Linked DNA regions of Caenorhabditis elegans. The protein of the gene in region 2 interacts with the protein of the main gene of each other region in a pairwise test. Each region holds a gene or a part of one and is shown on either strand. Other genes may lie near its edges.

The links. Proteins that work in one complex are often made in the same cells at the same time.
Region 1: the proteins of ZK858.2 (region 2) and nphp-1 interact in a two-hybrid assay, tested with the Caenorhabditis elegans proteins (one large-scale study listed by BioGRID).

Annotation. Positions count from the first base shown.
Region 1 is NC_003280.10:10,648,351-10,654,229, forward strand, and holds nphp-1 (Nephrocystin-1-like protein), read right to left. Parts: upstream 3,907-5,879; 5' UTR 3,880-3,906; coding exon 3,811-3,879; intron 3,289-3,810; coding exon 3,190-3,288; intron 2,937-3,189; coding exon 2,794-2,936; intron 2,738-2,793; coding exon 2,209-2,737; intron 2,159-2,208; coding exon 1,928-2,158; intron 1,750-1,927; coding exon 1,250-1,749; intron 1,172-1,249; coding exon 1,059-1,171; intron 1,014-1,058; coding exon 778-1,013; intron 717-777; coding exon 588-716; 3' UTR 543-587; downstream 1-542. Other genes in the region: M28.10 (Flo11 domain-containing protein), read left to right, coding at 1-173; lact-3 (Beta-lactamase-related domain-containing protein), read right to left, coding at 4,229-4,414, 5,150-5,287, 5,487-5,550. UniProt on the Caenorhabditis elegans protein: Plays a role in the extension of dendrites from phasmid ciliated sensory neurons. May be necessary for initial assembly of the cilium.
Region 2 is NC_003279.8:9,122,642-9,126,083, forward strand, and holds ZK858.2 (uncharacterized protein), read right to left. Parts: upstream 1,832-3,442; 5' UTR 1,801-1,831; coding exon 1,703-1,800; intron 1,547-1,702; coding exon 1,475-1,546; intron 1,290-1,474; coding exon 1,062-1,289; intron 975-1,061; coding exon 701-974; intron 655-700; coding exon 559-654; 3' UTR 541-558; downstream 1-540. Other genes in the region: ZK858.8 (t-SNARE coiled-coil homology domain-containing protein), read left to right, coding at 2,087-2,211, 2,684-2,813, 2,866-2,974, 3,044-3,288, 3,335-3,442.

The DNA of each region.
Region 1 (5,879 bases), on a different chromosome or scaffold from region 2:
CAGGTTCTACTGTCTCTGGAGCAACCGATGCATCCGTTGCATCCACAGCTGGTGGAGATACTACTGCAAGTGGAGCTTCTGTGGTATCAACCGCTGCTTCTTCCGAGGCCTCTACCGCCGCACCTGAAGCTTCTTCCGCTGCCGCTACTGTAATCAGCGGCAAGCCAGTTTAGGAACTCTTAGATTTCTCAGAACCACATCCTGATCGTCAGCTCGCAGAATTTCATGATGTAATAAAACCCCTTAATGGAATAAATTCGATGAGGCTGTGATTCTGAAAAATCGCCCAATTTTATTCATTATTGCGAATAAACATATTTCATTTCAAATCCATTTTTTGAGAGGGTACAGTGTGAAAATTTACAACTGAAAAATGGCCATTGCTCAGTTTTACCACTCCTATGTTTGGGAGTCGACTCTAAATTATTCAAATATTAAACAAAAAAACCAAAAATTTCAAAACCAAAAATTTCAAAACTTGAAATTTACTGAAACAATGACTGAAACATTTCTATGCTTAGATGCTAGATGAGTAGAACTTATTACACAGTTAAATTTTTTATTGAGCTTAATTTTATCTCCATAAATTAGTCAATAGAATGATTGCCTAAAAGATCCAATGAATAATCGATAATATTGATTGGTTTGCATTGTTGATCTGCGATGAACTGCTTGAAAAGTCCCTTATTCAATGCATCCACAAATCGTTGCATAGTCTGAAATGTTACAATAATCGAAGCCTGATTTTGAAACGAGCTCCAAGAGCAGCAGCTCTACCTGTTGCCTAATCGAAAGAGTAAGATCATCTTTGACATCATACGAAATCATTCGAATCCCATGAATAAAAAACGCGGTGTGTAGAAAAGTTTGGAAGAACTCGGCAGTTTGTTCAGCTTCGTTTTTCTTGGCGAGCACTTTCTTTTTGGTTTTCCAAATTTTCAGCATTATATCCATAATGTCATGCTGGTCACAAACAAATGGGAATACAGAGAGAAGTGGGTCAGATATAAATTCTGAAATTAGTTCAAAATATTGTTTGGGTGGGTATGAAATCCTACCAGCACTCAATGGATTCCGATTGTCCCGAATTAAAATGGTTCCAGCTCGTCGGCGGTAAAAGTGGAAGAATGGTAAATAAAGAGCATTGAATACTATGACATCGGGGAGGGAGCTGGAAAAATAATTTGGGTTGAACTTAAAGTCAGGTCAGGGATCCAGATTTTCAGCTTTCTTAGTTTCCAAAACTCACTCCACATATGAAACCTTATCCTTGGGAACATCCATCACTTGAACCAGAACTCTTCTTTTCGAAGCTTCCGGCAACTTCATTTTTGTCATCACTTCATCATCCAAATACAAAACATTCGTTCTACTTGGCACTGCTTTATCATCAATTATCAGTCGCAGATATGTATGTCCCAAACTCTTTTCCTCAATTCCTATTTGTGTCTTCACCAAATGAGATGCTTCCACAACAAGTACCACTGTCGGAGATCGATAGTTTGAGCGGAGAACAAAATCAGAAAACTCGATGCAGCTTCTCGTCTGGCTCTCTTTTTTCTCAAAGTACCACGTTGAAGATTTGACACGTGGCACAAGAGTGTGCACGTTGCTCACAATTTGAGTGGATTTTGGATTTGTGATGTCGACAAGAGCCATTCTGACAAGTGCCTTGTGTTCGATTAGGGGCATCTTTTCAAATCGAACTAGACGGATAATTTTTGATATATGGACAGTTCGCTTGTAAACCTGCAAAAAATATAGTTGATTTATGAAAGTGAGCAAAAAATGTGTTGCTATGAGTAGCAAATGATTCATAGTAAAAATTTTTAAAGCAATTTTCTCAGCCGTTTTTAGGAAGACTCAGAGGTTTTTTGGCAAAACTGTAGCATTTTTTGGGTAGAAACTGCAAGTTTTAAACTTTTACCTGATCCTTGTAATGACTCCAAAAAAGATCATGAAATCCAATATTTGAAGTTGATAGTCTCGGAGCCATATGGCACACTAGTGACAAGTGAGTGTCATTGTCATATGCTTTACCAAGACAGTCATCAACTCGAGATGCCTGCCGGTTTGCTTCTCGTCTTGATGGATCAGTAGTCGTAGATATTCCGATCACCGAATCTCGAACTCCGAGGCGACTAGACACTTTTGATGGCTGAAAATTTCTACTTATTAAACTAACGATACTAGAGAAAAGTAACAAACCACATTCTTCGGCTTTTCCTTAACATGTTGTAAATAAGTCTTTGGCACAAGACCCCTCTGACCATATTCATCCAGTGCAGTCCACCAACCATCGGATCTTGTCTGTGTGATTCGATACTTCTTTCCTTTGATTAACTCCAAATCCCCTTCAGCTTCTGCATCCCAACTGTCAATTGCAACAAAAACATTGCCACGGACTACAACTGGTTCCATAACTTCTCCAGAATCTCCACGACTCGGATTCTGAAGCCTTGAGATGACTTCATCAAGTTCTTGACGTTCATTCAAAGTCTTTGATTCAAGAGGTTTTGTAATTGTGATAGGTTGTCTGGGTTTTGGTTGAGGTTGCTGGTGCTGTTGCTGTGGAGGCTGTGGCTGACTCGGAAGAGGATCATCCAGCTGAACATCCGTCTCAATAATTTCTGAATCATTATCAGAATCTTCTGATTCATCATCGTTATACATTGTGCTTTTTCGGCGGCCAATTGCAGCCATTTTCGGTTTTTCTTCTTCTGATTGAGAGTCCACACTGGAATTGAATATTTAACTATTTATTAGAGAAATTGAATTTAATTATAATTTTACCTGACAGAAAACGATAATTGCTCCTTTTCCGGGCTCAAAGCTGTCAATCTTTGCTTCAACTTGTCAAGTTGCTCTAGAGCGTTTTCTTTCTTGTAGGTCTCGTCAGTTTTGGCCTTTTCAATTCGATTTCGGTGATCGTCGAGCTGCAAACTGTATGCATATGTTGATATCCTTGAATGATACTTCTACGTAGGCACGAGAATGCCTACCTACCAGAGTGCCTACGGTCTACACATATGCCTAACAATTTTTCAATGTTTGTAAACAATTAATTGAAATTAAATAGAAAGTTGGTCGACCTAAAATCTATGAATCAAACCGGAGATCCCATAATGGGCGGTAGGTAGGCCCGTAGGCAGCCAGGCATAAGGCAGATAGAGAAAATGCAATTTTTACCTGTCTATGCAATTCCTGGCACTGTCTGACAAAATGTTTGCGAAAACTTGCTCTCGACGCGGCTTCGGTGTCTTTTTGCTCTTTTTCGAGGCGATTTATCTGAAAAAAAGGCTTTTGCTATTTTTCCTTGAAAATACGGTTTACGGTCTAGACACGACAATTTTTGTCGAATGCGAAAAGTTGTGTGCCTTTAAAGAGTACTGTAATTCCAAACTTTCGTTGCAGAGGAATTTTTTAGTTTTTTAATAGTTTTTAGATGAAAATATGTACATTAAATTTAAAAAAAATTCTGGAATTTTGAATTACAGTACTCTTTAAAGACGCACACCTTTCCGCATTTAACAAAAATCTGTTGTGACGAGACTCAGTTTTAATTATACGTTTGAAATTTAATTAAAACGTTGAAAATGCGCCCCACTGCAACTTTTTGGGTATTGAAGGGATTTTTTTAGTTGGAAATGAACAATAAACCACGAATTCAATTTTTAGTTATTTAATAATGTGTAATGGAAAAATTAAAAAATTCACAATAATAATTTTTAAATAAATTACAAAAAAATCCAAAAATTGAAAAAAATCGAATTCCTTTTCAAATTCGTGTTAACAATTAATATTCCCCACCTGATATTCAAACTGCGGAAATCGATTTATGGCATCCTGCAGACTTAGAATGCTTCCAAATATGGACATCCTGCTTTCCTCTCCCCCTGGAAAGCTCTTTTCCGCGCGGCCACTTGCCTTAAGCCACCCTCGTTGCCCCTGGCAACTTGCGGGTTACCACCTGCCAGCTCCCCGCAAATGTGGTTAAAAACTGGTGAACTGATGGTTTATTAGTAAGGAAATCGAGAGAGAGCAGATAAATATGCAATTTTGTGGGGTCACTCGGTCAGTTAATTACGGGGGAAGAAGCTTCAACATTGAGAGAACGACACTTGGAATGAATGAATTAAAAACGGACTGTACAAAGAACACGCGGGATGATTTGGGATATATCTTAAAACTATATGGAATCACTAATTAAAAAATGAAATAAAATAAATTATGATTGAATATTAATTTGTTCGATGACATCATATACAGAAGTCTGAAGTCCCCAGTACGTCCTGCACAAGTCGTAGAGTCCCGTTTTCAACCCATTTGTGACGTAGGCAATTGTCACTCGATTCTTGAGATCTGTGATGACCATTTGGCATCCGTGCCCGGTATGTCCGAAGCCGAATTGAGTCTGAAAATATGGCGAATTATGAAAGAAAAATATTAAAAAAATTCACTGAAAATTAAATAAAAAAACGCTCCTAACATTTTGCAGGTTCTTTAGCTAAATTTAGGGTTTTAAATATTTTTTCTATGCATTTTCATTTTTTGAATGAATTCGAAATTAATGGTTTTTCAACAATTTCTCCTGTTTTTTCGTTTTCTGTTCACCACCTGGGCTCTTTTTTTTTGGTCCTTTGCTAATTTTTTGGGGGTTTCAAAATTTTTTTTTTTTTGCTTTTTTCGGCAGTTGTAATTTTATTACAAAAATGGATTTTTCAGTCTTTTTTAATGCAAAAATTAATTTTTGGCTGTTTATGTTTTATGTTTATTTATTTAATTTATTTTTAATTTTGTTAATTTTTGTTATTTTTGTTAATTTTTGTTAATTTTTGTTAATTTATGTTTATTTAGCAAAAAGGTACTTTTCGGGTTTTTTTGAGAAAAATTGATTTTTTTGAATTTTTTATGGGAAAAAGGACAGTGGTTTTTTTTTTCGCAAAAATGGATTTTTTAAAAGTTTTTTTTGGCAAAAATTAAAAAATCTGCTTTATTGGATGAATTTTGACTTTTTCGTTCTTTAAGAGTTTTTTCAGACTTTTGTTGGTTTTTTTGGTTTTTTTATTGTGAAAATGGATTTTTTAAAATTTTTCAGTTCAAAATTTCCATCATCCCTCGTCCCTCTTTCGATTATTCAAAATCTCACCCCAGCTCTATGAATGGGCAAATGGAAAAATCCGTGTCCCTTGGCGACAGTATCATCAAAAATGAAATCACTCTCGTTGACGAACGGTTTGCTTATCGTGTTCAGTGTAGCCTGATTGAGAAGTTTTCCTCGATTTACCTGAAACAATCCTCTTAACTATCGTTTTTGTTTCAGTTTTTTTAAACAGTCACAAGGAAATTTCCTTTTTCTTTTTTTTTGTTCGACTTAAAAATTTCTTTTCTTCGCTATCAGCCTAGTTTCAGCTGATAACGATGTTCAAACAAAACGAAAAAAAACTTAAAATTCTCATAAATTTATCAAAAAAACGAGAACAAACCTTGTCAAAAAGTGAGGCAAGAGAACGAGCATTTCCCATTCCAAGTGCGGCAGCTTGCTCCAATCTGGAAAAAAAACATGAATTTTAAAAAATGAAATAGCATAAAATATTGGTCAGATGCGAGATTTTGTCTCAAAACTATGACAATAGGTCTCGAAGCGACTTTTAAGGAGTACGGCAGTTTCTGAATTCTCATTTTAAAACATTTCATTTATTTTTTTATACTTTCACATGCAACATCGTAAAAAATCCAAAAAGAAGCGAGGATTTGGAAACTACAGTAATCCTTAAATTTTGGCATTGGAGAAAATCGGCCGCTTCGAGACCTGGTAGTGTATTTTTTGGGGGAAAATAGCAAAGTTTCGGATCTGGGTAACAGAATTTTTTGCGTAA
Region 2 (3,442 bases):
TCGCTTTCTAATAATGTGCTAGGTGTTCTGGCTTGGAAATAATAATATCAGTTCTAATTATTATGAACTGATACTATAATTCCCAAACCGCTTTGTTCTTTCCCTCATTTTTTCTAGTGTATCAGAATATCATTCATTGGTCTTCATGTTTTGTGTTCTTTCTCTCCCAGCTCTCTTAATTCCAGGTCCTCTATCGTGTATTGGAACTGTAACACTTTCGGTTTTCGCGTCTTCGTCGTCGCTCCCCAAAAACGCACACTGAATAATCAAATCGGGTTCTCTATCAATCATCATGCTCCTCTCTTCCGTTCATTCTTTTCATTTCCATGAGCTCTTTCTTTCGGTTTTCATTACTTCTTTGCCCTAAACATTCACAAACACGCACACATTCTTCATTAGGTTTCGTTTTATTTCCAACATTCTTTCCTGCTCCGCCTTCACCCTTTGCCAAAAAAATGGCTTTTATTGAAGTATTATGTGTGTGCAAGTGTTTCTCTGTAATTATTTGATGACTACCGCTTCTCTTAAATAAATAATTCTCTGTATTTTTCGAATTTATTAATCTTGAATGAGACTCAAAATCAGTTCGATTCGTTCCCATTTGTTCTGTTTATTGAGCTTCTCATTCTCCAAGTCTTCCAAGACTTTGTCAATCTGAAAAATACACTTTTACACGGATCCTTCAATGCTTTAAACTTACATAATCCGATTCACAACTCATTAGTCGAATATTCCATTCAATAAAATCAAGTGCTTCCAAAATTTCATTCTCATTTTCTACTGCCATTTGAGCAATTCCAATCGACTCGAGACGATTAAATTCCCGTAATTTCGCACAATTCGATGAATTTGATGGAATTATTGTTGAGTTTATTGTTTCTGTACACGCAGGTGAGTTATTCAGAATTTCAGAAATAATTTTCTGAAAAGCATTCGAACTCACTGGTTCCATGGCTGTCGAAGTGTTGTCGATTCTGTAATGAATAAATTATTTTTCTTATAAACACACGGTTCGTAATTTTGATCGTGTTGAGACCGGCTACCGTAATCTGGAAGCTCACCGTTTGCTACGTGGCAATGTTTGTGGAGTATTCATTTGAATTTCAGTTCGATTAGCTGTTATCATTGAAAGTCGACGACGAACACTATTGAATACGGAACGAGATGCTTGACGAGTTCGAACACGTCTTATACGATTGACACGTACAATTTCTCTTGAGATCGATCTTGCATCAACTGGAGTTATTAACACTGGAGTCGAAATGTGATATGGAGTTGTGACAAGTTCTCTGAAGATTTATATTCATTTTTCTGATTTAATTGAATTATATAACATTTAGGAAACATCGATAGAAAATCAAATATTTATATCGTCATTTCGAGAAAGTTTAATAAAATATTTAAAGGCACACGCGGTTTTTCTGTGTGAGTCTCGCCACGATCTTAGGAATAGTGTTTGCTATTATATATATACCTGATTGGCATGAAATCTGTTGGAGAAACAGTAACAGGAGTTGCGACTTCGAGTGGACTTGAAATTATGTCTCTGAAATCACCATAAGATTTAGAAAACAAGTACCGTATATCAGAAACCCCTTACAGTAACCCAATTCAGACAACACTTCTTGTAATCACAAAAAAAGATATGTATATTGTCAGAATTTTCGCAGTTATGTACACTGGATGTTTCGATATAATTTACCTTGGATATGGAAGTGGTCGTCGAATTGCAACGGGTGGCGTTGCCAACAGAGACATTTGACTAGAATCAGATTCAGAAGCTGAACTTGGAGAAGACATTGATAGTGATGGTTAGTTGAATAAGATTGTTAAAATTGAAATAAATTGTTTTCAACTTTTTATGAACTATTTTGTTTTCTAAAATTGTTTTTTTTGCGTTCTGGTCAGGGCGTAGGAAATGTAATATTTAATTGTAATATATAATAAAATTAGAACTGAAAAAATTTGTTCTACGTGAAATCCTATTTACATTATAACTTATTCCAGTTGTTATCAATCACTATAATCGAATGTCGAATATTTTTTAAATCATTTCAATAAACTCGATAATCTCTGACGTTCCGTCATGAATCCAATTTGGAATCCCGAATTCCATCAATTTATGATGAATAATCAACAAAGAGCTCAAGCTGGTGGAAATCGACAATTTCAAGCAGTTCAACCGCAAATTAGACAAAATCAAGTCGTGGAGTAAGTGACCTAAGTATGAAGCAATAATATTATGTGTCTCAGTTATACATATCTTCCTCGATGAGCTTCAAGGAAAACGTTATATGGTCTCACCGCGAGCAACGCGCCTGTAAGGTTACTGTAGAAATGCGCATATTTTATGTCTGGTGTTCTGAATAATTCATCGCAATTTCAGACGAAAACATTACGATACCAAATACTAGTTAAAAACATTCTTTAAAAAATTAAACAATTTAATAAAAAAGAAAAATAATTCGATACCATAATTACAGTAACCTTGAAGGCGCGAACAAATACAGATTTTTGTGACTTCCGGGTGCGGCGGGACCATTTGGAATACATCCCTTGAGACTTATAGGGTTATGTTAAGGCAGGGGTACTGTAGTCTTACTTAAACATTTCACCGAAAATATAAGATTATTTAAAAGTTGTTGGAGAAAAATCACAAATATTGACTGAGCTCCTTCTTCAGCAGAAACATACAGCCCCCCCGACGTCACAATGCTCCGGCTCCGAATCAAAATCGTAGAAACCACCAGCAACGTCATAACAATATGAATATGCCAAGAAGAGGCAATCTTAATATTCAGAGAGATGTAATGGTGAGAAGTTGTTTTTTCTTTGTTCAAATTGTAATGTTTCGAGTTTTTGTAGTCAAGAGATGAACTGGAAAGAATTGAGACAATGACACGTAAGAATTATCAAACAAGAACTGCTGTAGAGTACGATAATCGAGAGAATCAATGTTGGACAAATATTTTAGGTCGGTCTGTCTCGTTTTAGAAAAAATTTCAAAAAAAAATCCATCTGCATTTAAAAGTTAATTTTTCAGAAAACATTGAGCAACAAACGCATCAATTCTCGCATTCCACGTCTGATCATAATTTCAATGGCGGCGATATTTTCATTCCAAACGAGGAGAGCATCCGTTCGACACTTCGTGCTGAAAATCAAGCTGAAACAATTCTGGCGACACGAGACTTGCTTCTTAATTTCGGTGCCACGGAGCAAGAGTTGAGCGGAGCGCTTGCCACGTTGGAAATTCACTTGAGAACCAACGCGGCTGAATTCAATACTGTAAGTTGAAGTTTTTGCAGTGATCTACTTATTGAAACTTTTCCAGATTGATGATCTATCCAACGAACTAATTAAAACTGCCGGACAATTGACGACGGAAATCGACGAACTTGATGATATTTTAAGCCGCATTGATAGACTTCGTATTCAGAAA